Linked DNA regions of Callithrix jacchus. The protein of the gene in region 1 binds, or shares a complex with, the protein of each later gene. Links are inferred from orthologs where the notes say so. Each region holds a gene or a part of one and is shown in the gene's direction. Other genes may lie near its edges. The genes, in order: VIRMA, RBM15B, METTL14, CBLL1, RBM15 and ZC3H13.

Region 1 (4,792 bases):
TAATAGAAGATAAACTATAGCTAGCCAATAATAGAGGAAACTGGATAGCTGAGGAAGGAGATTTACTTTAAAAATTCATTTTTTGTTAAATATTTCAGACATACCAGAAGGTACAAACAATAATGTAAGGCATGCTTGTGAAACGAACACTAACCTAAATAATAAAACATTACCATTTTGAAGCCTTTCTGTTCTTCTTCATTACATCTCCCTCCAGTTCACCACTATCTTGAAATTTTAGTTATCATTCCAATGCATGTCTTTATAATTTCATGACATTATGTACACTCCTAAATATTTATATTCTTTTGCACTTTTTAACCATATAAATGTTATTTTACACTATTTAAAAATTTTTTTTCTTTTCTAAGAGATGGGTGTCCCCACTGGCCTTCAACTCCTGGGCTTAGGAGATCCCCTGTCTCAGCTTCCAGAGAAGCTGGGACCGCAGGAACATGCCACTACAGCAGGCTTCACTACATATTTCTAAACCTGTTTGCTTAACCCATTTTTTTTTTTAAAGGTGGAGGGTTGTTGCAATGAGGGGAGTTAAACTTTTTTTGTTTTGATTTTTGCCTCTCTTTTTTTTTATTTCATTTTTGTGAAGAACAGGGTCTTGCTATACTGCCCAGGCAGTTCTCCAACTCCTGGGCTTCAGCGATCCTCATGCCTCATCCTCCTAAGTGCTGGGATTATAGATAGGCGTGAGCCAACGCGCCCGGCAACCTTGCTTTTTTGATTTTTCATGCTGGTACATACAGCACTAGTTTATTCTTCCTACTTGCTATATTCTATTATATAAATACGCCACTGTTTACTTATGACTTCTGTCAATGGCACCTATGTTTCCTCCTCTTTTGCAATTTATAAAGTTTGCCATGAATATTTTTGTAATTGTAGATACGTGCGCAAGAATTTTCCTAGAAGAGGGGTAGGCACGTGCAATTTTACAGGCTATTTCCTAGTTGCTCTGCTAAGGGTTTGTGCCATTTAGACTACCAAACCCGCTGTGTTTATCTTGTTGTTCCAAAGCTCATCAACACCCGACAGGCTTACTTTTCATTCCGCCTCCTTTTTTATTGTTCCTGGTACTTCACATTATACAGTTCCTCGAATTTTATTTCAATTACTCCTCACAATCAGCCTGTGGGTTAGATACGATTTTTCACATTTTACAGATAAGAAAACAAAGAATTTCTTCCTTTGCTGAAACAAGTTTCTTTTCTTCCATTTAAATCAATGTCTTATTTTTCAACCTCGCTCACTGTACCTTTTTGCTCCCAGCGCTGGAAAAAGTGGGACACCCTCTTCGGTGAGTGTGCGGGGTTGGTATCCAAAGTTGGCAGCTTTCCCTCCTCCTCCTCCGCCCTCTCCAAAACCCCGGCACCGCACTTCGCCACCAGGGGCCGCTGTGGCTCCGTAACGCGGCGGAACGACAGGGTTTGAACCACTGGAGACCCTGTAGTCTCCTGTCACTTCTCTCCGCCCCATTCTGCTTTCTGGGGGCGCCCACCGCCGCGCTGGAAAAGGCGGGGCCGGCAACTTCGGGCAACAAGATGCGTTGGGATAGGGTGACGATTGCGGCGCTGGTTCTGTGGTCGCCGGAAGTGCCGCGGTTTTTCCCTCTTCAGGGCCGCTATAGCTGAGACTGGAGCGCTGCCCCGGAAGTTCTCTCCCTGTTCCCCGCCCGCGGCAAACATGGCGGTGGACTCGGCGATGGAGCTGCTATTTTTAGATACTTTTAAACACCCGAGCGCTGAGGTAAGGCTTGGCGACTTGATTCCGACCCTGCTTCTCTATTTTGGACCTTTACAAAAAAACCGTTAGGCGTCCTCGACTTTTCCTTCTGCAGATTTCTTCTTTAATTTCTCTCTCACACACAGACACCCTCCAGCGAGCGGTGTGAGCATTGCTTCTGACGGAGAGCTGCAGCAGCCCCTTCATTTCCTTGCTTTAACTTGGGCCCTCGGTGTCTTTGGTCGAATTGGCTTCTCTGCTTGCATGGCTTTATTTTTTATTTTTTCTGTCAGGTTTGGGCCTTGAGAAGGATCGGGGTTCTAAGGTTTACCTCTCGTGGCGTTTGTGGCGGGGGGTCTTGGATTTGACAGAAATGTTCGACAGTGCCGGACTCCGAGCAGCTTGCGTTGCTGCGTGGTTTCCTAATCACGATGTTTCTAAATCCTTTCTCTTTGGCTCCTTTTCTGTCAGGAGTTATGTTCCCCAGTTGCGACACTCATTCGGTTTAGGATTACGGTGCTCTCCACTTTGACCTGAAACTATAATACTTGTCTCGTGGAGAGATTTCACACATTAGGAATGAGACGCATTCACGGAGAGTACTGCGAAGAGGGGAGAGTTGAGAGAATTATAGTCAAACTCATCATCAGATAATGTTTTTTGAGGTCGGGGATGGAATGTTGTGGAGTAATGTTTCTGTACAAAATTGCTCGAGCACCTTTGAATGTACAATTGGCCCTGCAATATGTAAATTAAACATAGCTGGTTAACTTAAGATTGATGAGAGCAGATCAAAAGTGAACTTGAATGAAGTCCACGGAGAAATTGAAAAAAAAAAAAAAAAAACTTCACATTTCTCTGTCTTAATGTAAGTTTAATCAGATTAGAGAACTTTCTTTGGAGATTTTTTTTCCTTCTATTTTTATCAAGTGTGTTCTTGTATCAAGCTTTTTGAGGATGGGTATAATTTCTCTTTTTCTCAGCTGTATCTCCAGTGCCTCGTACAGTGTTAGCAATATAGGTACCCAGTAAATATTTAAATGGAAAATGTTTAAAATGTTCATTCTTTTGTGAGATAGTGTTGATAGTGGGTAGTGGTTGTATCGTAATGCTTTACTTGGCAAAATAAAAACTTGACATCTGTGATCTAACTGAACTAACGGTTTATAGGTCTGTAAAAGTCAAAGGTTGGAGAACTTGGAGTTAGCATTTCTTACTGATGATTAATTCACGGTCTCACATTTCATGTGGGTCACTTAGCACTATTTATTTAATGACTATACCTCTCTGACATTCCAGCCAAGATTTAGAAAACCCACAGTGCAGGCAGTATCAGAACAATACTGATGGGTATAGAAACAGAGAACCCAATATCATGGGTATAGAAACAGAGAACAGGTAAAACCGAAAGAGCCTGGCACAGTGGGTCATGCCTGTAATTCAGCACTTTGGGAGGCTGAAGCAGGACTGCTTGAGTCCAGGGGTTTGAGACCAGCCTGGGCAACATAGTGGAACCGCATCTCTACGAAAGAAAATTAACTAGCTGTGGTGGCTTGCTTCTATTGTCCCAGCGACTCGGGAGGCTGAAGTGGGAGGACTGCTTGAACCTGGGAGGTCAAGGCTGCAGTGAGCTAAGATTATACCACCGCGCTCCAGCCTGAGCAACAGAATGAGACCCTGTCTCGAAAGAAAGAGAAAAAGAAAAAAAGAGAAAGAAGCATATGATGAATTAGTTTAGTACTTTTCTAGTTTGGGAAAATTGGCATTCATTGGTTTATCACATATTTAATCTATTCTTTTATTCATTCCTAGGTAAACATCAAGTACCTTGAGAGGATAAGGCAGATGGTAAATGCCTTCTTTTGGGGTGATGGGGAAGGCTTAGTAGAGATCACATTTAGATCAAGTCTTGAAGGAGGCAGTAGGGGTTTGTGGGTGATATGAAATGTTGAAATGTTTGTTTTCAAGAAGTTATAGCTCAGTATTGGATATTAGATCCACAAAATTGTGATTTGAGTTAGAATGTGATGATCACATAAAGAAGCAGTGTGAATTCCTTGGGGTTCATCATCTTTGTTTACAAAATGCCCATCAGTATCTGACATATTAGAATTTGCTGTCTTTGTGGGTATAAATAAAGGATACATGATTTCAGAAGAGGCAGAGATAAATAACTTTTCATCTGAGTGTATCAGGAAAGATTTCATAAAGGTGTTTGGCTTATGAACTTGGGCTTTGGTGAAAGGGGTAATATTTCCCGGTTGTAGTTAGGAAAGGAGGGCATTCTACTGGAGTAGTTATCTGTTAGGATATGCTTAAAGTAGCAGTATGAAGTGGCACCCAAGGCAATTAGTTCAAAGGCACATCATGGAGCTCCTTGAATGCTCAATGAAGAATTATGAACTTTATTTTGTATGAAATGGGTAGTTTTTGAGCAGGCAAATTATGCAATTAGTAAGATACATTAGGTAGTTTACTTCATCAATAATACTTAAAATGGTTCAGAGAAAATAGGGGTGAGGTGACAAAATCAGGGAGAAAAAGTGAGATGTTATGAAAACCTGAGTTAACAAATGGACAGTAATCATTGCTTCTCCACGTTTATTGAATACTTAATTTGTACCAGACACAGTGCTTTGACAACTTAAGTAAATCATCTCTGGTCCTTCCATCTGTTTTTTTTTTTTTTTAGACTAGATCATGTTTTGTCACCCAAGCTGGAGTGTAGTGGTGTGTGTAGTCACAGGCTCACTGCAGTTTCTCTCACCAGGGCTCAATTGATCTTTCCATCTCAGCCTCCTGAGTAGCTGGGACTACAATTGTGTGCCACCATGCCTGGCTCATTTTTGTATTTTTTTGTAGAGACGGAGTTTTGCCATGTTGTCCAGGCTATTCTGGAATTTCTGAGCTCAAGTGATCCTCCCACCTCAGCCTCCCAAAGTGCTAAGATTACAGGCATGAGCCACTGCAGTGCCCGACTGAGTTTTCAAAGGTAGTCAAATACATTTTATAGATACGGAAACTGAGAGATTAGGTATCTTTACTAAAATAGCAT
Region 2 (4,740 bases), on another chromosome or scaffold:
TACCAGGTGCAAGACATGGGGGCCGAGGCCAGCTGATGTGCATGGGTGTCTGCCACTAGAGGGCAGCAAGCACCTCAGCAGAAAGGAGCCTGAGGCAGGGCTGGGCTTGATAACCTGCCCCTTGATAGAGTGCCTACCTTAACGGAGGAGAGCTGGAGGCCACACACTCTAGGAGGAGTGAGTCTGGGATACACTCCTCCTAGAGGGCCTTACATTGGGGCTCAGTACAAGCAAGACAGGGTTTGTGAAGTGGGGTTTCTTGCAAGGATGGCTTCGATCACTGCATGTCAGTGCTGACATCTCTAAAGATGCTGTTGGCCTGGCCACCTACTTGCTCTTTCAGGCTCATGGTCTAGTGTCCATCCCAAACTTCTGATGTCTGTTCCAGTTTTTACAAGACTGGTAAAAAAGAGGGGGTGGGAAGCTGCTTTTTGCCTTTGTTTACCCTAAATTAATTGTTGAGGTCCAGGTCTTTTCTGGAGTCTGCTTCTGAAGCCGCTCTCTGTGGCATTGGTGCTTAGGAACCCCAGGTGTTGGTGTGAGCCTTGGCTCAGTGAAGATGCCTGTAGACACCACCTGAAAGGAAGGACTAAGACCCAATGCTTTCCAAGGAACTGCTCTTGCTTCAGAGCGCTTCACTGTGTCTCCTAAGCTCAGCTTGCCTGTAGGAGGCCTTACAGGCTGCCATGGAGCTTGTTGCTTTCTTCCAAGACCTTTCCCCCTGCACCTGCCTGAGCTGCTTTCTCACTGTGGGAAGAGGGGAAGACTTAGTGTGCTCTTCCCCATCGCGAGGATTCTGTGCCAGAAATTGGATCAGGTTCTACCATGGCTCTAGCAACTGTCATGAATGAAAGCTCCCTCAGTGGGCTCGGGCACCCTTTCCTTCACCTCACATGGAGAGAAGAGGTCCTCCTGAAGGTGAACAGGAGGGTACTGGCCAGTGAGGGGTCAGTGTGGCAAGCTGTGTTAACTGTCATTACTATCTATGCATTTGACCTCTTCATCCTTGGCTCTTGTGGTTCTACTTTTCCAGCCTGCTCTCTGCCCAGATGCCAAAGAAGAGGGTGGGACCAAAGAGTGGCGTTAAAGAGTCTATTCCAACTCCATCAACTTCAACTGCAGGCTTGTCACTGCTTTTGGTTATTACCTACATGCACAGCCATGGTCCTCATGGCCTTTTTGGGGACTGCAGCAGGTGAACTTACATGTGGAAGATGCCCAGAATGTGGGCCTTGGGTCCTAGACAGGGCCTAGAGATGGGCATGCATTTGTCCTTGGGGCAGTTACCCCAGATCCCAGGCAGAAGATGCCAAGGAGGGTGATACGGGAGTTTGCTAAAGCCTAGTCCTGGGGCTGAGGGGTACTACATACACACCACTGACTGGGTCAATGCCCCAGACCCCGACAGCCCACGGAAGCCGCCACTCCTTCCTGTTCCAGTCAGCGCGGGCTCCAGCTCCTGCGGGAGGAGATAGCTGAACCCAGAGCGGCAAAGCACGCCTGGGAGCACAAAGCGTTAGGTCGTCCTGCGTACCTCTCAGGGTTCCCTTCACTTCGCGTAGCCTCAAGCATCGCCCATGTGGGCCGCGCGGTGGCGCTAGAGCGCGAGGCCCAGGCCCACTCACCCGGCGCTCACGGGGGTCACGTGGCACTGGGCGATGCAGCACGATGACGCAGCCCGACGCGTGTCTCGCTCCGCCCGCCACAGAGTCACGTGGCACGGTCGGCGCAGCTTGATAACGCAATGCCAGGCCCCTCGGCGCCGCTCCCGCCCCGCCCCGCCGCCGCCGCCGCGCCGAGTCCTTTTGTCCAAGATGGCGGCGCCGGGGGCGCTGCCTCCTCGGCCGCCGCCGCCGCCGCCGCCGCCGCTGTGAGAAACCTACGGGCCGCCCGCCCGCCGCGCCAGCGCCATGAAGCGGCAGAGCGAGCGAGACTCTAGCCCGAGCGGGCGCGGCTCGTCATCGTCGGCCAAGCGTCCGCGGGAACGCGAACGGGAGGCGGAGGCGGGCGGGCGGCGGGCGGCGCACAAGGCCTCTGGCGGCGCCAAGCACCCGGTTCCAGCGCGGGCCCGCGACAAACCCCGCGGCAGCGGAAGCGGCGGGGGCGGGCATCGCGACAGCCGCGGCGCCGGGGACGCTAATCACCGTGCGAGCAGTGGCCGCTCCTCGAGCTCCGGCGCTGGCGGCGGGGGACGCGGCGGCAAGGCCTCGGGGGATCCGGGCGCCTCCGGCTTGTCGCCCCGCACGTCTCCGCTGCCGCCGCCGCCGCCGCCGCCTGGGGCCGAGCCCACGGGTCCCGGCTCTTCCGCGGCTGCGCCTGAGTACAAGACGCTCCTCATCAGCAGCCTGAGCCCAGCGCTGCCCGCCGAGCACCTCGAGGACCGGCTCTTCCACCAGTTCAAGCGCTTTGGCGAGATCAGCCTCCGCCTGTCGCACACGCCTGAGCTGGGCCGTGTGGCCTACGTGAACTTTCGGCATCCACAGGACGCGCGCGAGGCCCGCCAGCACGCCCTGGCCCGCCAGCTGCTGCTCTACGATCGCCCGCTTAAGGTAGAGCCCGTGTACCTGCGCGGCGGCGGCGGGAGCAGCCGGCGAAGCAGCAGCAGCAGCGCCGCCGCTTCCACGCCTCCCCCAGGACCGCCCGCTCCCGCCGACCCGCTCGGCTACCTGCCGCTGCACGGAGGCTACCAGTACAAGCAGCGCTCGCTGTCCCCCGTCGCTGCCCCGCCCCTGCGAGAGCCCCGCGCCCGCCACGCCGCCGCAGCCTTCGCCCTGGATGCTGCCGCCGCCGCCGTGGGACTGTCCCGCGAGCGGGCCCTGGACTACTACGGGCTGTATGACGATCGTGGGCGCCCCTATGGCTACCCGGCTGTGTGCGAGGAGGACCTGATGCCCGAGGACGACCAGCGGGCCACGAGAAACCTCTTCATCGGGAACCTGGACCACAGCGTATCTGAGGTGGAGCTGCGACGCGCCTTTGAGAAATACGGCATCATCGAGGAGGTGGTTATCAAGAGGCCTGCCCGTGGCCAGGGTGGTGCCTATGCCTTTCTCAAGTTCCAGAACCTGGACATGGCCCATAGGGCTAAGGTGGCCATGTCAGGCCGAGTGATTGGTCGCAACCCCATTAAGATAGGTTATGGCAAGGCCAACCCTACCACTCGTCTCTGGGTGGGCGGCCTGGGACCTAACACCTCACTGGCGGCTCTGGCCCGGGAGTTTGACCGCTTTGGGAGCATTCGGACCATTGATCATGTCAAAGGAGATAGCTTTGCCTATATCCAGTACGAGAGCTTGGACGCAGCCCAGGCCGCCTGTGCTAAAATGAGGGGCTTTCCCTTGGGTGGACCAGACCGCAGGCTCCGCGTGGATTTTGCCAAAGCAGAGGAGACACGGTACCCCCAGCAGTACCAGCCCTCACCGCTCCCTGTGCATTATGAGCTGCTAACAGATGGATATACCCGGCACCGCAACTTGGACGCCGACCTGGTGCGGGACAGGACGCCCCCACACCTCTTGTACTCAGACCGAGACCGGACCTTTTTGGAAGGGGACTGGACCAGCCCCAGTAAAAGCTCCGACCGCCGAAATAGCCTTGAGGGCTACAGTCGCTCAGTGCGCAGCCGGAGTGGTGAGCGTTGGGGGGGAGATGGGGACCGTGGTTTACCCAAGCCCTGGGAAGAGAGGCGGAAACGGAGGAGCCTTTCCAGTGACCGTGGGAGGACAACTCACTCCCCGTATGAGGAACGGAGCAGGACCAAGGGCAGTGGGCAGCAGTCAGAGCGGGGCTCGGACCGCACCCCTGAGCGCAGCCGCAAGGAGAACCACTCCAGTGAAGGGACCAAGGAGTCCAGCAGCAACTCCCTCAGCAACAGCAGACATGGGGCCGAGGAACGGGGCCACCATCACCACCACCACGAGGCTGCAGACTCTTCCCATGGGAAGAAGGCAAGAGACAGCGAGCGCAATCACCGGACCACGGAGGCTGAGCCCAAGCCTCTTGAAGAGCCAAAACATGAGACCAAAAAGCTGAAGAATCTTTCAGATTACGCTCAGACATTACAGCTGGGTTGGAATGGGCTTTTGGTGTTGAAAAACAGCTGCTTCCCCACATCTATGCACATCCTAGAGGGGGATCAGGGAGTGATCAGCAGTCTCCTCAAAGACCACACTTCTGGGAGCAAGCTGACCCAGCTGAAGATCGCCCAGCGCCTTCGACTGGACCAGCCCAAGCTCGACGAGGTCACACGACGCATCAAGCAGGGGAGCCCCAACGGCTATGCAGTCCTTTTAGCCACCCAGGCAACCCCCAGTGGGCTTGGCACTGAGGGGATGCCCACAGTGGAGCCAGGTCTGCAGAGGCGACTTCTCAGGAACCTGGTCTCCTACTTGAAACAGAAGCAGGCTGCAGGGGTGATCAGCCTGCCAGTGGGGGGGTCCAAGGGCAGAGATGGCACAGGCATGCTCTATGCCTTTCCGCCCTGCGAGTTTTCCCAGCAGTACCTCCAGTCAGCACTAAGAACATTGGGCAAGCTAGAAGAAGAACACATGGTGATAGTCATTGTCAGAGACACTGCCTAGCCCAAGCCTGTTTTTTCCAGCGTCATGTTTGTGTCACAAAAGCAGTTATTTTAAAATCTGAACCCCTCTCTACCCTACCAGTTTGGTTTGAATTCTCTCCTGGGTTATTTTGGTTCATTTGGGTGGGGATCAAAGTCCTTTCCGCCACCAAAACTAAGTT
Region 3 (4,908 bases), on another chromosome or scaffold:
GCACCTTAACAGGAAAACAAAATCCTCCATTTGACAGTAAACTCTGTAAAGAAAAACTGACTTATTTCGTAGTTAATCTTTGATGAACTCTATAGACCGTAGGGTTTATCACAGTGCTTGCCATATAAAATCAGTATCAACAGACATTTAAAGGAATAAATGCCTATTCTTATCATTGGTAAAATTTAAATCAGTATTCAACTTAAATGATTGGCAGGTAATACAACTGATTTTTAAAGAAATACATTTTAACTCATATGGACATTAATATTTTACAGCACCCAAATAGTGCTGACATTACTCAAGGAATTTAGAACTACTTGTTCAAACTTGCCTTTCAGACCTAGTTCTTGAGAAATACATTATAATTATTTCTATAAAAGTGGGCAAGGACTAGTGGATGGAAACTAGTTCTTGGCCGCTTTTGGCCCAGCCTGACTCAACTGGTTTTAATCTGGATGATTTAATATTATTTTTGAAAATTAAATCCACTCTCAAAGAACAGACATGTTAACTAATTTTGGTAAGTACTTACCACGACTTCCAATTAAACTTGAGGCAACATTATGTTTTAGTCCACTTCCGCCGCTGTAAGTTTGAAATAAGACGGCAAATGTGGTGAATAATAATCGTAATAACTCAAATAAGACTTTGGCCTTTGCTACCTTCCTTTGAGGAGAGAATCACCACCTCCTAGCCCTCACCCTTCATCCTCCATCCCGGAAATTACTTCCGAGTAATTTCAGGAAGCTATGTTTCCTTATCCTTGGGTTATTTTCAGTTAAGACAAATGTACAAGCACAAAAAGGAGTGATGTGGAATCTAAAATTTACACTCAGGCTACTTCCAGTGCAGTCTTTAGAAAAACGTCAAATACTGCAAAAGTATTTCACAATGAAACCACGATCTCAAGAATTTGGTGCTGACGACGAGGAAAAGTAAAAAAGAGATGATCATTTAAATAGTGAAGAGAAATGTAGGGGATAACATGGCACTCATCCTGGCGTGAAAGCGTAGATCCTTGCCAGACACTTCGGTGGCAAGGAGTCACTTAGCTTCTGACTCCTAGGACATAACCCAAGACACACTTTACTATCACACACTCATTTCCCTAAACGGAAATAGCTCATGTGCCACGTTCTGTTTATCCTTTCAATCACAGCTCTGTGAGGTAGACACTTACTACTCCCAGTTCACAGATGAGAAGACTCAGGCTCAGGAAGGTGGTTAACTAGCCAAGGCCGCTCGGCTAGGAAGTGAGAGACCAAGGTTCAATCCTGGGCAATCTGGCTTAAGTTTGTGTTCTAAGTTAAAACAAACAAAAAAATTAAAGGTGTCTGGCAATGTTTTAAACGTCAGGAATTGTCATCTGTGTAATCAATTGAAAAGAGAATCAACACTTCGGAAACAGTGTGATACACCAAGGAGCCTAATACCGTGGGAAGGAGAGATAAAGGAGAGGTCAGTAACTATCCTCCTTCCGACTAGCTCAGACCACCCCATCCCGCGGCGGCCTAGAGGCCCGAATACCCCTGCAGAGTCACAGATCCCTTTGTGTCCCTTCATAGTGGCGTCAGATCGCGAGCGTACGGAGGAGGCGGGACTTCCGGGCCAAGCGAGCCAATTCCTGCCGCGCCGGAAGTACCTGCTGAGGAAAGCATGGAGGTTACTCTGTTCTTAAACTCCAGGTGAATACTGTGTTCCACAGACTCGGAAGAAAAGTTGGACAAGGGTTCACTGGCGATTGACAAATATTCGGGGTAGTGAAAAACAGCAGTTGGAACATGGATAGCCGATTGCAGGAGATCCGGGAGCGGCAGAAGTTACGGCGACAGCTCCTCGCGCAGCAGGTCCGCGGCCCTGGTGGTCCCTGCGGGAGGGATCGCGAATGCGAGTGCGCGGTCGCCTCCTAGTTCCACACCCCGCCTTTTTCTGTCCCCTCTCTACCTGCCGCTGTCAAGGTCTTTCTGGTCCTGCGATCCTGATCCCTGGTTCTCCCTTTCTTGTTCTCAACTTTTCCAGTGCACCGAATGTTTTTCCATTTCCTTCCGCGGTCTTTGTTATGCTAAACCGAATGCTAAGATTGGCTTCGAATCTGTGGAACGCCCACCGAGTGTCTGGCAAGGCTTATCTACGCTTTCACGCCAGGATGAATGGCATGTTATCCCCTGCATTTTTCTTCACTATTTAAATGATCATCTCTTTTTTACTTTTCCTCGTCGTCAGCACCAAATTCTTGAGATCGTGGTTTCATTGTGAAATACTTTTGCAGTATTTGACGTTTTTCTAAAAGACTGCACTGGAAGTAGCCTGAGTGTAAATTTTAGATTCCGCATCTTATGTATAGTATCCTTGTCACACCCACAGTTAATATTTGAAATCTTACTCTCTGTTAGTCACAATAATCTCTTGAAACAGGTAGTGTTTCCTAAACTTAACAAATAATAAAATAGGCTCCATAGGTTAAGGAATTTTACTCCTGGTCGCTCACTTCTCGGCTGGGAAATAGAACCTAGGTTTGTCTCCCCAAAGCTTGTCTTCTGAACCATTGTCCTTCACTGCTTCTTGTGTATGAGTAAGTTAACATTTGCCGATCAGTAGGGTATACGTGAAGAAAATACAGATTGTGCACAGTTCTACTTAAAATCGAGGCTATGTTTTCCAGTCTACCATTCAGATCAGTAAAAGTGATAGAAGAAATGCTCATGGACTGTAATTGGTCATCTTGCTGTTATTTTTCAGTAATGAAACTTGTTTTTAGTAAATGGAATTCTGAAACCTATTTATGATCTGATGAACAGATTTATGGTATACTGCTAAAACAGTGGGAACTTGGAATCACATTTGTTCCTTGTCCCTCTGGCATTATCATTTTGGACAAATCAAGTATCCTAAGTCTTCTTTTCCCCAACTTCTTAAAAGTTCAGTAGCTCTTTGTTGCTACCACAGAAGATGTTTCACTCCTTAATATGGAATTCAGACTTCTATTTGACTCAGGATGCATTCATAGGACAATTATTGGGTGTTTTACACTCAACAAATTGCAAGGGGTTCTAGTAGTCTTTGGCAAATGAACTACAAGTAATAGGTAGTCCCTATCCTTAAAGAGCTTCAAAAGTGCATAAAGTTTAATGATGGTTGCCATTTTTAAAGTCTCTTCTAATTATGTGTCAGACTTTAAGATTTTTACATACATTATTTTCCATCCTACATATCAGATGCTATCAGCATTTTATAGATGAAGAAATTAAGCTCAAAGAATTTAAGTTACATGCCTAAAGCCAAAAAGCTGGTAAGTTTGCAAGCTGCAATTTTTAACTTAGGCCCTATCTTTATTAGTGCATCTAGCTGTCTGCTGGTCTTCTAGTTGGACATGAACCATTCTACTTTAGTAAGGATGCCCAATATAATCAATGACCCACATCCTCATCCTCTTTACCAATTAACTTCAGCCTCTCTTTCACTTGCTTTTCTGTTTATGATGAACATGGCAGACTGGTTTATTACTCTCCAGAACACACTTTGTGCGATATAGCCTTTATGATGTTTGAAATTGTTCTCCTTCCATTCTGAATTCCTTGTAGCTTCCATGCCACAGCTTACAACATAGTGGTGAAATCTGTCCCGATCACCTTGGCTTAGGTGCACGCTTTGAGCTTTCATTGTCCTTATTGTTGAGTCTACTACTATATATCGTTTGTTAATTGTCAAACAGAATACCGACTGTTTGGGTGCAAAGTCTTTGCATTTGACTCCTGTTGGGTTAATCTCCTATCCCAGCATTGCTTCCTGCACAAAATAAGCTTTTAATAAATGTTTGTTGATTGATGAAATAGCGTAGAGCACAACTCAGTGTGTATAATTTGCTTTGGTCTGCTGGATTAAGACATTGGATGCATTAGGTAGGCCCAGACCATGATGTTGGCAATTGGATGCTATCACCAGCAATTTATACCTGCCTTTTATTTCAGCTTGTAGTTTTGTTTTATGAATTAGTTGCACTCTACTTAGCCTTATCTTAATCATTATTTGTTCACATTTATTAATTTCAAAAGATACCAAATTGTTATGATTATTCAGATAACATGTTTAGTGCCACCATAACAAAAAAAAAATGTTGGCCTGTGAGAAGACAATTAAACATGTAAGCAGAATTATGATTTAATACATTTCTCCTGTGATACATTGTATCCTAATTGAGACTCTAGTAGGAAATTTCATTTGTTCAGCAGATATTGATTAACATATACTGTTAGTCAAGTGTTACAGTAGTTGCTGAACATATAGGCAGGGTCTTCCTATAGGGATTTTACATTTTATTGGGGAGAAGTGAACAAAAACTGATAAAATAATTGAAGTATGCAAATAAAATAATTGAAAGTTGTGACTACTAAATAAACAATATAAATAGAAAATAAAAGTAAAAGATAAGTAATTGAAAGTTGTATTAAGTGCTATGAAATTGATAAGGAAACAAGGTAAAAAGGAGAATAATGGAAGGGGACTGCCTATCCATACAGGGAAGGAAAAAAATCTCTGAGTAAATAATGTGTACTCATCTGAGATAGGAAAAGAAAGGAATCAGTTACAGGAAGAAAGTTAGATAGCATTCCAACTGTAGGAAGTAGGTCTATTGTCTCCTGATTAAGGAGAAAAGGAGTAAGGAAGAGTTTATGGAGGAGTTGAAATTTCAGGAAGAGTTGCTATATTGGAAGAGATATATCATTGAGGGAATCTGAGGGGAGTCATTTTGTGTGGGTGGACTACAAGATTAGTGGATAGTTGTTTAAGATCAAGGCTGGTGACTTGCTAGTCTGATATTTTAGTATGCTTCCTCCCTTTTCCTGAGGTAAATGGACTATTTAATACAGATTTCTTCATGCCCTGCTTGTGCTTAAATATGTATAT
Region 4 (4,629 bases), on another chromosome or scaffold:
AGATTAAAAACAGCAGAGAGCATTGCATATAAAAAGGGTAAGTATAGTTTCATGACACTTAAATATATGCTTAGGTGTTGTGAGTTTATGTGTTGAGCTATGATATAAAATGTATGTCTAACAGTGAGAAACATTTATTTAACAGCAACAATTTACAAACCAAATAGACCAGGTGTGTTTGTCCTTACTTGGTACTGAGGAGTCTGTAATAGGGTATTGGGGAAAACAAGTTCTCTGATAGCCCTCTTAGCTTTCTCATAACATATACAGTAACTATGTAAATGGAAGTCTATCAAAACATCTTGGAGCCCACTACCTTATAATTCATAGGTAGTAGCTAAAAAGGTGCACCTCAGTGCTTCAGACTATTCGTTACAGTAAGTTTTCACTTTTGTAAACCTTAGGTCAGTACCGAGCTATATAAATAAATATTAATGATGACTCTTCATAAAGAAGTTGTGAATAGTTACAGCACACCGGTCGCTGAAACTACTAATAAAATGTAAGTAAAGAGATTAATTTATCACACTGCTACTGCATTGGTAATTAAAGGCAACCACAATTAAGGGGGAAATGAATACAGACCACAGATGCTAAAGCCATGCATGAAAGTAAGAGATGTCAAATCAAATCCAACAAATGTTTAACATTTTATCAGATCTAAAATAAGTAAATCTTCTTTCAGTAAATTTTCATAACGACGCATCATAAAATACCCACAAAACTTGACTTAAAAATTATATAAAATACATTTTGAAAGCTTTTTAATTCAAATTATTTAAATATTAGCATCGGCAAACACAGTATTATTGTGAACATGGATTTGCATGAATCAGAAGTTTAGCTGAAAAAGTATGACAGAACAAAAAAAAAAATCAAAGCCAGTGGTGGTGATGAGCATCTGTAGTCCCAGCTACCGGAGGCTGAGGCATAAGGATCCCTTGAGTCCAGGAGTTCAAGGATGCAGTGAACTATGATTGTGCTATTGTACTCGTTTCTGCCGCCTCATCTCTAAAAAAAATTTTCTTAATATATGCAAAAAAGGTACTTTCTAGAGGAAAACTTTTTAAAATACTCCAAATTGGTGAAAAATGCCTGACTATATCAACTCTGTATTTAGAAATTAGGGAGGTATAGGGAAAAGGTTAGGCAAACTCCAATGCCCAAAAAAATAATTTCAGAAACTGAAAGCATCTTGAAAACCACTTAGCAATATAGAACTTTACATTTTAACAAAAGCAGGGATAATTTTGATTCACAAAGGTCCTTCGTTGTGAATGTACCTAAAAACTTGTTTATAAAGCTGCCTATATGCAGTGGAAAAGTCTTTTACAAGATCTCAGGAAAATAACCACTAAATGCATGGTGCACTTATATCGCACTGATCATAACAGTATGACTCACAGCTAATACCGTGCAAATACAAAGATATAACACATTGGTACTCATACTTTATTTGCAATTCAGTACCATGAAAACATTTCTCTAAGAGGTCAATATAATATTTTATTAATCTAGGAACTCTGGCACTGAAAGCGTGAATAACCCAAGGTGATGATGTCGTCACCAAGGGACGACAAGAATAGAACCCAAATCCCTTGACTCCCCAAGCTTGTGTTTTCCATTAATTGTGCTCCTTTCTATTCATCCACGAGCATCAAGCGTGAAAGGCTGGAGAAAGGACTAAATACAAAAAAGCCAAGTCCGCGAGGTGGAGACTGCACTGAAGGTCCTAGGAATCGCCCCTTGGCACTTTCCTTGTTTTGGCTGAGGAAGATGAAAGCAGCAGCAACCACAAACCCCTGGGACCAAGAACTGGAACTAGGTACTGCCTATTGTGGTATCTCTCTTCCTCATTTTAGGCCTTTCCTTTTTAACCTCTCCTTCTGGCCAAGCCTTGGCGCTCTCTTCCCTTCCCTCGGCTTCCATCCGCTCCCCTTAGCTCCACTCTGCACATTCCTGCTAGGTGTCCCCTTAAGAGGAGGCAGCTGCGCCGCCCAGGTTCTCCATCCTCCATCCGGCACAGGCGCCCACTCCTCGGGTGTTCGAGGGGTTAGTAGCGTCACAAGCGCTCTCCCTAGAAAGTGAGTGGCAGTCAAGCATTATGAATGTATTTCAACTGTAAAGAGACAAGTTGGGAACAGGGGCATATACCAAGACGGCTCTGCGTGAGTCTAGGTAGCTCGTCACAACAAAGCAAAACTTAAGACAATAAATGTTGCGACTTTCCTTCTAGCTGCGAGCTTCACAGCTCAGCCATCCCCTGAGCAATCTCCCACTGGAGGACGCCTTCCGGAGCGCCTGTGTTTACACTTTTCCTACACTCAGTGGAGGCAACAAGCGCTCCCGGACCACGGGGGATTCCAAACCGTTACTCCGCCCGCCGGGGTGGGGCCAGCACAACGGCCGAGCCTGCGCAGCCGGCAGCCGGCTTCGCGGCCCCCGCGCACTACAAGTCCCAAAAGGCAGCTCTCCGCGGGGGCGGGCAGCCGCCTTAGCTGCCGCGGGCTCATTTCTACCACTGCTCTCCCTCGCCCTGGTCCTCGCTGGTGCCCTTTTCACAGTTAAAGGCTACTTTTCCTTGAAGCACATGAGGAGAAGCCTTAGCGACCTCGCCACCGAACTTCGCGCGCTCGCTTTTTCTGCCTCCGCACCAACTATGCCTGAGTCCCTCACAGGAGTTGGGTAGTGGAGGCGAGAGAAGGAAGTCTTTGTAGACCAAAGCTGGGACAATCCGCTCGGACTTCCGCCTCCCGGCCTCCGGAAGGCAGTGCGCAGGCGCGGGCTGCGACTCCGGCGCGGTTGACTTCCGTTCCCACTGTGCTGTGCGAGCCGAATCATGGATCACACTGGTAAGGAGGCGGAGGCAGTGGGGGTCCCGGTTCCATGCCCCCTTGGCCGGCCTGGGACTGGTCGCCCAACAGGCAAAAGGGATTACGCTCGCCCCACAACACTTGAGTGTGGCAGTGAGAAGAAATCTCACAGTTGCCTTCCCGTGCCCGGGAGGGGCCTGCTGCTTCCTGGCCTACCCTCTGGTGCGGTACCTACCTCCTTGGTGCCGGCAACAGCCGCTCCTCTGTTTCTGCTGAGCTCCGAGCCCGGACCGGTGGGCGGCGTAGGCCTTTGGGAAGGGAGAGCGCCGGCTCTGTTTTATTCAGCCCAGCTGCTCTGCCCTGCATTATGGGGACTCGCGGGTAGACTGCGGTCTCGGAGTCGCGGAATCCGCTGGGAGTGGACGGGCTAGAGTGGGTTGGAGACTTCCTGCTGTCTCAGTCAGCTTTGGGCGGGTGCTGCAGTTGTAACCTCCTGTCGTCTCTCCTGTCCTTCATGGACTAGAGAGGTGAAAGAAAGGAGTGGGATATAGTTTTTGGAATCAAACTTGGTGGAGCTTTTCTGCCTAAACCAAAAGCATGCCCCGCGCTTCGGCTGTGGTCCTTACTCATCATTTGAGGGTATTTACAAAGAGGAGCTTAAAATAAAGACATTTTCATCCTTTTCTCCAAGTAAGAGTAGCTCCACCCTTTGTTATGTGTTTTCTGGCTTTTGCTTCTTTCTGGTTCTTGGATGGTGAATGTATGCTATTGGAATTAACAAGTGCCCCATAGAGTTATAGCGACCATATCACAAATAGAGAAAAAGTATTTTTCGTAAGTATTGAGTTGTCCTCACTCATCATATATCTATTATATAATTAGGTGTGTATGTTTGTTTATGCCAGATACATACAGATATGTATAGGTCGGGAGATGGAGGATGGAATGGTAAACAAGACGGACCAAGTCCCTGATAGACCTTCTATTTTATGGAAGAACACAGACAATAAGTTCTTTTTTATTGTTTGTTTGCAGATCATAAGTGTTTTGAAGAAAATAAACGGGTGTTTTGGAGAGATTCATAGGAAGAAATTTCAGAGGGTTGTTAGGAAAGGTCTTTGTGGCAGGGTAACATATAAGCTAAGATCCGATGGATGAGAAAATCCAGTCCTGGGAAAAAAGCAGGAGGAAGAGCATTTCCAGCAAGTGCATAGGTGCTGAGTAGGAAGATGTAGCGAAGTTAGCTGCAGCCTAGTAATAGCCAGAGAGTTGAGTCCTGAAGTGAGATTGGAAAGGAGGGCAGCCGTCACATTCAGGTCATTGAAAACCATGGTAAACGGTTGAATTTTATTTTAAGTGAATATGAAGGCATTGAACAGAAGTAGAGGAAGAACACAGTCTCTTTAAACAATGTAGTAGGCTGTTCTGTGGAGAATGGTGTAAGAGAGGGAGGTAAGAATGTTGGAAGATAGGTGATTGCAGTAGACCGGAAGGGAAGGTTGGTTTGGTGGAAATGAAGGAGAACGGGCAGCTTCAGTAAATACTTGGGTAGTGTTTGGAGGAATGTGAGAGAAAGGAGAAATGCCTACGTTTTTGGTTTGAGCAGCTAGGTAGTGTCCCCATTATTGAGTTGAGGATAACTCGGGGGAGAAAACAGTCCTTTTTTTGTAGAAGTGAGACAGGAAAATTTGGGAATAAGTGTTTAGTCTTGGACTATTTAGTGTGAGACAGCTGTTGAAACACAGGAGAGGAGATGTCAAGTGGAGATGAAGGGTTAAGAACTGCACTGAAAATACGTATTTGGAAGTTAGTACCT
Region 5 (4,730 bases), on another chromosome or scaffold:
CTCTACCAGCATCCAGATTTTTATCTTTAAATATCATTTCCCACTAAAAGGAATCAGAGCTCTCCGGAGAAATGGCTGATTCCACAACTGGGGCAGGAAATGTATCAGTAAGTCTGGGAGAAAACAATAGAGAAAGGAAGAGTGGGAAGTGTGATGCAGATGAAACAAGACTGACATGATTTGACAACTGTTGAAATAGGGTGTTGGGTATATGGAATTCTTTATAGTATTCTTTATTTTAAACTTTTTCCATAAAAATAATTTAAGGAAAATTAAAAATAATTATTTTTTAAACTGAAGGAGTAATAGCGTGCTTTTTGTATAAAACAAAAGATTTCTACAAAGAAAAGTGAAGTCTCCTTCCTATTCCAGACCGTCACACCCAGCCTCAGGGCGATCCTAGTAACACTTTCCCATATATTTGTCACGGAAGTTTCCAAGCAATGATATTTTTAAAATGTACATACTCACAAATGTAATTTTTAAAACCACAAATGATAGCATGTTATACACATTATTTTATGGCTTGTGGTTTTATTTTCTATTTTAATACAATGAATATGTTTATACATTACAATATCGTAGACTTTCTTGCTTTACCATTGAGCTTCTTCCTTCAAATTTCTTTGATCTAATAAAGGGATAAAAGGCCTGCCCCTTCACATTCCTCAGGATTACTTACCAAAAGGATGGCTCGGCCGCTAAATTTAGGTTACAGTTCCTTTTTTTTTTTTTTTTTTTTTTTGAGACGGAGTTTCGCTCTTGTTACCCAGGCTGGAGTGTGCAATGGCGCGATCTCGGCTCACCGCAACCTCCGCCTCCTGGGTTCAGGCAATTCTCCTGCCTCAAGCCTCCTGAGTAGCTGGGATTACAGGCACGCGCCACCATGCCCAGCTAATTTTTTGTATTTTTAGTAGAGACGGGGTTTCACCACGTTGACCAGGATGGTCTCGGTATCTTGACCTCGTGATCCACCCGCCTCGGCCTCCCAAAGTGCTGGGATTACAGGCTTGAGCCACCGCGCCCGGCCCACAGTTCCTAATCTTAACACCGTTTTCAAGTTTAGGTTTCGGCTTTTGGGACATTATTGTTACCTTGAAAAATGTCATGTTTAAAAACACCTCACACCCTCTACCATAGATTAGATCTTGGGAAATAGGTTGAGGACGCGATCAATGTAAGAATCCTCATAACCTCCGCCCTGGCGGATACCTGGGAGGGCTGCAGACAGTCTAACGGCTGCGGTGACCTCAGCGCTGCGCCCCTCCAGCAGCCGGCGAGCGCTGGGGCGGAGGCCGTACCCCACTAAGCTCGGCATCTCCTGCACCTCCCACAGGTGCTCTGTCCGCCACAGTAATGCTCTACGGAAAAGAGAGTTGTAAAGCGGACGGTTGGAGGAGCCAAACGAGGTGGATCTGGAGCGGCCGCAAGGTGCCTGCGCTGCTGGCTTCTAATACAATAAGCGGAGTGTGGGGGATACCAGAAGTTACAGCGGGGAAACCAAGTTACATTATCTGCATGGAACCTAAATTTCGCTTGATGACTTTCCAGGGAGAAGCATTAGATGTTAAAAACAAACATAGGTATTTTACGGGACAACAGAATTAAAAAATCCACACAGATTCGCAAAATAAAACAGGCCGCCCAGAGACACGTCCACGCTGTCCCGACAGTTCCGGCTCCGCCTGCGGGCCAAGAGGCGGGGAGCGACGGTCACTCCCCTCTGCTACCCAGAGTACTTGGGAGGGGACGGGGAGCGCCCCGGAAAGCAGGGCCCCCAAGCGAGGAGTGCTTCTTCGCCGCGCAGCTTGAAGTTCTTGAAGTTCCTTGTGGCAGCACCGCCCCGGGGCAGCGGCGTGACCTGGGGCTGCAGGAACCTTGAACTCCTAGCTCAGCGGGCCCGGGTGACCGCGGGCGGGACTCTCCCGCGCGCGGGGGCGGGGCTCCCCCCGGCTTTTCACGCAGCGGCCACAGCGACCTAAGATGGTGTCCTCTAGGCGTCCCAAGACGGCTTCCTGAGGGACTGGAGGGCCCCGACAGCCGGAGAGCCTGCCACGCTCCTGGGCCGGCGCAGGTAGGATGGCGGGGAGCCTGAACGTTTCGAACTCCAACGGCCGAAGCACAGCTAAGTACCTCACGGAACTGAACAAATGTTTGTGGGAGGACGCCGAAAAGGCGGGGAGGCGGGGCTGGCTCACAGCCACCCTCTCGCGACATCTAAGTGACGTCGCACAGTAAGCACGTGTTCTAGTCTTTCACCTTCAGTCAGCCTCCTCCTTTATACGGGCCTACCCCTTTAAGCAAGTGATGGACAGTTATTTCAGCTTATCAACTTCCTTGCGGACATCCAATCAGATTTAAACTTCTTTTAGCCGCCGGAGGAGTTGGGAAAAGGGGGTCGAAAGAGGGAGCTCACCCTCTCTCGCGATATCGCTGTGAGGCTGCCTCTGGAAAAAACGCTGAAGCGGATGGCCCGACCTCCTAAATAGTGGTTTAAAGGACGGGTTTATAAGCCAATGAAAGGGATGAGGAGGTGGGGTTGCTGCTTTCACCGAGTAAGAAGTACCGTTACAGGGCAGACTTTTCGTCCAATGAAGACCTCCAGACTTTGGGTCACATGACCGTAGAGCGCTAGGGGCGGAGCTACAGCCTGGCGCGAGGAACCGTTAAGATAGACAACAAATATAACCAATGAGATGCTCTGACTAGGGCTTTGGAAACCCAATAACAGTGGTTGGGCGGGCGCCTTCCTGGAGCGCGGGGAGATGTAAAGATAGACAAATAATTTTTCCAATGAGACTGTAGAAGAGAGAGCCAATTGGCCAATGAGGACTGCGGGGCGGGATTCTGGGCCGCGGCGGAGTCCAAGATGGCGGCGTGCGGTTCCGCTGTGTGAAACGAGCGCGGGGTGGCGGGTTAATCACCTCAGCGGAGACGACCTCCGACGACCCGCAACAATGAAGGGGAAAGAGCGCTCGCCAGTCAAGGCCAAACGCTCCCGTGGTGGTGAGGACTCGACTTCCCGCGGGGAGCGGAGCAAGAAGTTAGGTGGCTCTGGTGGCAGCAACGGGAGCAGCAGCGGAAAGACAGATAGCGGCGGCGGGTCGCGGCGGAGTCTGCACCTAGACAAGTCCAGCAGCCGAGGTGGCAGCCGCGAGTATGACACCGGTGGGGGCAGCTCCAGTAGCCGCTTGCATAGTTATAGCTCCCCGAGCACCAAAAATTCCTCAGGCGGGGGCGAGTCGCGCAGCAGCTCCCGGGGTGGAGGCGGGGAGTCACGTTCCTCTGGGGCCGCCTCCTCAGCTCCCGGCAGTGGGGACGGCGGGGAATACAAGACTCTGAAGATAAGCGAGTTGGGGTCCCAGCTGAGTGACGAAGCGGTGGAGGACGGCCTGTTTCATGAGTTCAAACGCTTCGGTGATGTAAGTGTCAAAATCAGTCATCTGTCGGGTTCTGGCAGCGGGGATGAGCGGGTAGCCTTTGTGAACTTCCGGCGGCCGGAGGACGCGCGGGCGGCCAAGCATGCCAGAGGCCGCCTGGTGCTGTATGACCGGCCTCTGAAGATAGAAGCTGTGTATGTGAGCCGGCGCCGCAGCCGCTCCCCTTTAGACAAAGATACTTACCCTCCATCAGCCAGCGTGGTCGGGGCCTCTGTAGGTGGTCACCGGCACCCTCCTGGAGGGGGTGGAGGCCAGAGATCCCTTTCCCCTGGTGGCGCAGCTTTGGGATACAGAGACTACCGGCTGCAGCAGTTGGCTCTTGGCCGCTTGCCCCCTCCACCTCCGCCACCATTGCCTCGAGAGCTGGAGAGAGAGAGAGACTACCCCTTCTACGAGAGAGTGCGCCCAGCATACAGTCTTGAGCCAAGGGTGGGAGCTGGAGCAGGTGCTGCTCCTTTCAGAGAAGTGGATGAGATTTCACCCGAGGATGATCAGCGAGCCAACCGGACGCTTTTCTTGGGCAACCTAGACATCACTGTCACCGAGAGTGATTTAAGAAGGGCGTTTGATCGCTTTGGAGTCATCACGGAAGTAGATATCAAGAGGCCTTCTCGCGGCCAGACTAGTACTTATGGCTTTCTCAAATTTGAGAACCTAGATATGTCTCACCGGGCCAAATTAGCAATGTCTGGCAAAATTATAATTCGGAATCCTATCAAAATTGGTTATGGTAAAGCTACACCCACCACCCGCCTCTGGGTGGGAGGCCTGGGACCTTGGGTTCCTCTTGCTGCCCTGGCACGAGAGTTTGATCGATTTGGCACCATACGCACCATAGATTACCGAAAAGGTGATAGTTGGGCATATATCCAGTATGAAAGCCTGGATGCAGCACATGCTGCTTGGACCCATATGCGGGGCTTCCCACTTGGTGGCCCAGATCGACGCCTTAGAGTAGACTTTGCCGACACTGAGCATCGTTACCAGCAGCAATATCTGCAGCCTCTGCCCTTGACTCATTATGAGCTGGTGACAGATGCCTTTGGACATCGGGCACCTGACCCTTTGAGGGGTGCTCGGGATAGGACACCACCCTTACTGTACAGAGATCGTGATAGGGACCTTTATCCTGACTCTGATTGGGTGCCACCCCCACCCCCAGTCAGGGAACGCAGCACTCGGACTGCAGTTACTTCTGTGCCTGCTTATGAGCCACTGGATAGCCTGGATCGCAGGCGAGATGGTTGGTCCTTGGACCGGGACAGAGGTGATCGAGATCTGCCTAGCAGC
Region 6 (4,172 bases), on another chromosome or scaffold:
GCTTTTCTTTCCTTTCCCTTATGAGGCAGTTTCTGCCCTCTTCCCATGGTAGCGTATGCTCTGGGTTGTATCTTCATCTAGAATTCAGTATTATTTTCTAATACATATTATAGTATCATCATCTGATACTTGTATCTCTAGTTCAGTTACCCAATTGTGTCACTGGATTAGATTTTTATTATGGTTTCAGTTTTTGAATGTTATATTTACTTTTTAAAAAATATTTCTATGTTTACATTAAATCCAACAGAGCTTAAAGGTGAAATAAAATAAAAATATTTTTATAATTTGTCTATTTTTTTATTACTAATAATGGTAAAATAGTCTGTTAATTACTTTTAACACCTTTGAATTTTATGTCAGTGTAGTATGGATTATAGAAACACCTTGACTTTTTCTAGTTCTACAATCTGTCCTGTTTTGAAAGTTGTCTTTAGCGACATTGGGTTTTCTTTTTGTGTTACTGGAAAATAAATAAGCTTGATCAAATTGCTTTGATCTCTGTAAGGCAAAGAAAATATTAAAATATCATTCATTTTTCTCCAACCTGATTTTTGGAACATAACTACTATTGTCACTTAAACTTATGAAGTATGATTTCTGCTATCAAAATTTTCACCCAGTTTTGTTTTCCAATTTTCTTTAGCGTAACTCTTCTTCATTTAACCAGTTGATGGTTAACAACTTTTTCTTAGAGGTTAGAGTTACTAAATTTTGAAGCAATTTTTGTAAGTAACTTTTATAAAGTAAAGATTTTGTGCTATGTCTTCTGAGGTTGATTGTACCATGAAAACTTCACTGTGTGAGTAGAATCATATTTGTTCACTCTGCAGAAGAGGTACAATTCTAGCCAACAGATTTCACAGCTGTTATAAATTCACCAGTGAGACATGTGTTAGAAGATACCTTATCTCTGTTTACCTGTGACCTCTCCTATGCCTTTTTTATCTCCCAAGGAAAATGCCGTGTAATTTTACACTGTTACCTATAGTTTTATCTACTTGTAAGTTGTGGGCTCAGTTATTTAAAACTGAAGAATTTTACAGTTTTGCCTCTTTCTTTTTTGGTTAAAGTAGTACAAAATGTCAAAAATTAGAAGGAAGGTCACAGTGGAAAATACCAAGACCATATCTGATAGCACATCCCGAAGACCCAGTGTGTTTGAGAGGCTTGGACCCAGCACTGGCAGTACACCAGAGGTGAGTTGTCACTAGGATAGTCACAGGGGTTCTCTTAGAATTCTGTTACTGAAATGCTCATTTGTATCATAAAGGTGAACCGGTTGGTTTATTGTAGGAAAGTTGGTTCAGTAATTTTTTCAAAGGCGGTAAGGTTTATGGGTTTTCCATATTTTTTTCCTGAAGTTTTTATTATTTGGGGAGTAATATCTCACAGGTTAGCTGGAATTTTGATAGCATTTGTTTTAATTTTGTCCCACTAGCATTTTTTTCCCCAGAACTCAATATGAAATTTACATGGTAATATCTGTCTCTTAGACACAGTGCCGTAACTGGCTGAAGACTGGCAGCTGCCTCTATGGAAACACATGTAGATTCATACATGGCCCTTCACCTCGCGGTAAAGGTTATAGCAGCAATTATAGAAGGTAAACTGAAAACTCTGAATTGTTTATGTACTATTAGAAGATGGCTTTTGTCATTTATTGAGTATAAAAATCTGAAATACAACCGTACATTTGGTCAGATTTTCCTTATTGGTAGTAGTCTTTCCAGTAGTCAAAGTTTGACAAGATCTTTTTGTTTTTATTTTCAAGATTAATAAATTGTTTGCTTTAAAATTAACTTATTCAGTATTTACTTGTTATGACAATAGATCTTTTTGTAATATGTGTATTACTTTTTTCCCCCAATTATGTATTAAATTGATGCCTGAGACAGCAGAATTTCATGGTGTCTGAATTTCTTTTTAGTGAGGCTAGACTATTTTAAAATCTTAAAATAGGAAAATTAAAATTGGGTATAATTTTAAGATGTTCTGAATTTGAATTTTGTACAAATTCTGTACCTTGTCACAGAGTGTTAATGTTAATGAAAATACATATTTATATGTGGATAAATGTACTCCATCTTTCAAACATCATTTTGCCTTTAGTAAAGGCTTGGCTAAATTAAACTTGCTTTATAAAGACCTTTTATTTTTCTTTTGGTCCCTCATGATAATTCTTTTATGGTGTTTAAAGATGTAATATATATAACATTAGTCACAAAAACAGTTTTAACTTGATTGGTAAACAAATAATTTACCTAGTTCCAAAATTGGTTATGCTGACTGTTTTGGCTATAGCATAGAAACTGTGTAAAAACTGAACATTAGTAACTGGAGATTTTTTTTTTTTTCTTTTTATTAGTTGGGTGATTTTGAGGGGGGTAGTGTATGGGTAGATTTTATTTAGTAGAATTTAAAATTCAAACCCTCAACATTAGCCAACTTCCTTTTCACATAACCATTGTATATTTTAGTTTATTTGTGATTCTGAATACTGTTTTATTTGTATTTAGATTGTCATTTGTCACTTCTGTTAATGTGGGATAATTAGTGTTATTATTGTATATGTATATATACATGTGGATACTTACATGGTGAAACTATTTCCATAATTTTAATGTTTTGCTTACATTAATGCTACAGTTTTAATATTTTTAAAATTCATCTTTGAAATTTATAAGCTGACTCAATTTTTAAAAAATAATTTTCAGAGAAATGGTCAGAGAAATTTGTCTATAATGGGAAAAAATAATGTCATTGCTAGACTTAGAATAAAGGATATTTATTATAATTTTGCCATTTTGTGTGTGTTTTTCCATCTGATAACTTCTTTTGTATTCGTGCATTTTTTTTTATAAGGAGAAAAATATATTTCATAATGTGAGTTAAAGATGAGAAGAAAAGTAATGTATTTTACAAAATGCTCACTTATATGCTTATATACAAGACTTAAGTAATTTGCTGAGAATTTGCTGTGTGTAGAACACTCACTCTGTTGGGTGCTGTTTAGGATAGAAACAAGTTCATAATAAACTGTTTTATTATGTAATATAAAACAAACCAGCACACACAGGATTTGCATGTACATCATAATCATAATTTAAAGCACTTAAGTACTGGTTCTTAAAAAGACGTTCCAGTTTCAAGTTTAGCTTTAACTGTTAAAACATTTAATATACATCTTTTAAATGTGCATGTAAACTTTAATGAGATCCTTTAAAGTGAATTAACTCAAATTATTTATTCACTAACCTTATGATTTATATTCATAAAATCAAGGAATTGATTTGATTGATCAGTGGCTGCTTGAAATGGATGTGGATATTTATATGATTTGTTCATATCTTTTTTATAGACAGTACTTTTTTGTAGTCAAAGAGGAACAGAGCATTTTTTAACTTCTTTTGCCTTCTTTTAAAGCTGTTCTAGAAATAGCCTTTAAAGGCAAGGTGTTTTCTGTCTCTCCTCTGTTTTTTCCAGCTGATAGAATAATTGCATAGCCATATGCTGTCAAATTCCTAGCATAAATAACAAAGCCTTACCACTGCTGAGTACATATATGCGTTTTTCTTTCAATTAAAAAATATTTGCAACAGATTTTGAAAATCACTGTTGTAAAATTTTGCTTTGACTCCTTTTCTGTCTTTATTCTGAAATAAATTAAAATTTCAGAAAAATTATCAAGCTCCTATATTTGCTTTGATTCTGAAGTTATATAAAGTATTTTCTCAGTTGTTGACTTTGCATCCAACCACATGCATGTATATATAAGAAACTTGTTTCTTGTGATGTCTTCGTATATCTTGCATGTATATTTGATAATGCTGCTACCTCTAGATTAATTTTGCAACTTTATAGTTTAAAACTGTGTTAGTATTATTATGTTTGGCTTCCACATGTGACTAATATATTCATGTGATTAATAGGAAAACAAGTCAAGCTATTAATTCCTTGTTCTCAGTTCACATGTAATTCCTTATTCACGTCACCAGTACCTGCCACTTCATGGAATTTTAACATATACGTTTTTATTGTTAATGGAAGAAAAACTGTAAGTGTTGCTTATGTTTTGCATATCATATTTAAGGTGAAATTATTTTTCAGAAATTTAGGAGTCAGGGTCACAAAAAGTATATTGAGATTTGTGAGGTTATTTCTGTAAATAC

What was found.
Region 2: VIRMA (region 1) and RBM15B share a complex: the UniProt entries of both Homo sapiens proteins name them as parts of the WMM complex. The link is inferred for Callithrix jacchus from reciprocal best matches to the Homo sapiens genes VIRMA and RBM15B.
Region 3: VIRMA (region 1) and METTL14 share a complex: the UniProt entries of both Homo sapiens proteins name them as parts of the WMM complex. The link is inferred for Callithrix jacchus from reciprocal best matches to the Homo sapiens genes VIRMA and METTL14.
Region 4: VIRMA (region 1) and CBLL1 share a complex: the UniProt entries of both Homo sapiens proteins name them as parts of the WMM complex. The link is inferred for Callithrix jacchus from reciprocal best matches to the Homo sapiens genes VIRMA and CBLL1.
Region 5: VIRMA (region 1) and RBM15 share a complex: the UniProt entries of both Homo sapiens proteins name them as parts of the WMM complex. The link is inferred for Callithrix jacchus from reciprocal best matches to the Homo sapiens genes VIRMA and RBM15.
Region 6: the proteins of VIRMA (region 1) and ZC3H13 are in contact, whole or in part, in a cryo-EM structure (PDB 7VF2), measured with the Homo sapiens proteins. The link is inferred for Callithrix jacchus from reciprocal best matches to the Homo sapiens genes VIRMA and ZC3H13. Residues at the interface, in NP_056311.2 of Homo sapiens: Leu521, Ser529, Tyr531, Gln532, Leu535, Glu536, Ile538, Leu539, Leu540, Asp541, Val544, Val547, Thr548, Ser551, Leu554, Gln555, His558, Glu561, Val562, Ser564, Glu565, Lys567, Gly570, Asp571, Ala574, Glu575, Thr577, Ser578, Glu621, Glu625; in NP_001317494.1 of Homo sapiens: Pro1492, Leu1493, Asp1494, Val1495, Ile1496, Asp1497, Val1498, Asp1499, Trp1500, Ser1501, Gly1502, His1507, Leu1518, Lys1520, Phe1521, Pro1523, Val1526, Met1527, Arg1529, Val1530, Gly1531, Ile1532, Ser1533, Lys1535, Leu1536, Ala1537, Gly1538, Leu1541, Lys1544, Val1545.

Annotation. Positions count from the first base shown.
Region 1 is NC_133517.1:32,643,073-32,647,864, forward strand, and holds the start of VIRMA (protein virilizer homolog), read left to right. Parts: upstream 1-1,672; 5' UTR 1,673-1,698; coding exon 1,699-1,761; intron 1,762-4,792. UniProt on the Homo sapiens protein: Associated component of the WMM complex, a complex that mediates N6-methyladenosine (m6A) methylation of RNAs, a modification that plays a role in the efficiency of mRNA splicing and RNA processing.
Region 2 is NC_133516.1:33,966,934-33,971,673, forward strand, and holds the start of RBM15B (putative RNA-binding protein 15B), read left to right. Parts: upstream 1-1,807; 5' UTR 1,808-1,910; coding exon 1,911-4,580; 3' UTR 4,581-4,740. UniProt on the Homo sapiens protein: RNA-binding protein that acts as a key regulator of N6-methyladenosine (m6A) methylation of RNAs, thereby regulating different processes, such as alternative splicing of mRNAs and X chromosome inactivation mediated by Xist RNA.
Region 3 is NC_133504.1:78,847,501-78,852,408, reverse strand, and holds the start of METTL14 (N(6)-adenosine-methyltransferase non-catalytic subunit METTL14), read left to right. Parts: upstream 1-1,650; 5' UTR 1,651-1,784; coding exon 1,785-1,850; exon of another isoform or gene 1,851-1,870; intron 1,871-1,934; exon of another isoform or gene 1,935-3,238; coding exon of another isoform or gene 3,239-3,292; intron 3,293-4,908. UniProt on the Homo sapiens protein: The METTL3-METTL14 heterodimer forms a N6-methyltransferase complex that methylates adenosine residues at the N(6) position of some mRNAs and regulates the circadian clock, differentiation of embryonic stem cells and cortical neurogenesis.
Region 4 is NC_133512.1:78,201,447-78,206,075, forward strand, and holds the start of CBLL1 (E3 ubiquitin-protein ligase Hakai), read left to right. Parts: upstream 1-1,600; 5' UTR 1,601-1,776; coding exon 1,777-1,825; intron 1,826-2,477; exon of another isoform or gene 2,478-2,839; coding exon of another isoform or gene 2,840-2,852; intron 2,853-4,629. UniProt on the Homo sapiens protein: E3 ubiquitin-protein ligase that mediates ubiquitination of several tyrosine-phosphorylated Src substrates, including CDH1, CTTN and DOK1. Targets CDH1 for endocytosis and degradation.
Region 5 is NC_133508.1:148,190,043-148,194,772, forward strand, and holds the start of RBM15 (RNA-binding protein 15), read left to right. Parts: upstream 1-1,732; 5' UTR 1,733-2,825; coding exon 2,826-4,730. UniProt on the Homo sapiens protein: RNA-binding protein that acts as a key regulator of N6-methyladenosine (m6A) methylation of RNAs, thereby regulating different processes, such as hematopoietic cell homeostasis, alternative splicing of mRNAs and X chromosome inactivation mediated by Xist RNA.
Region 6 is NC_133506.1:165,240,656-165,244,827, reverse strand, and holds part of ZC3H13 (zinc finger CCCH domain-containing protein 13), read left to right. Parts: intron 1-1,073; exon of another isoform or gene 1,074-1,076; 5' UTR 1,077-1,082; coding exon 1,083-1,199; intron 1,200-1,496; coding exon 1,497-1,606; intron 1,607-4,172. UniProt on the Homo sapiens protein: Associated component of the WMM complex, a complex that mediates N6-methyladenosine (m6A) methylation of RNAs, a modification that plays a role in the efficiency of mRNA splicing and RNA processing.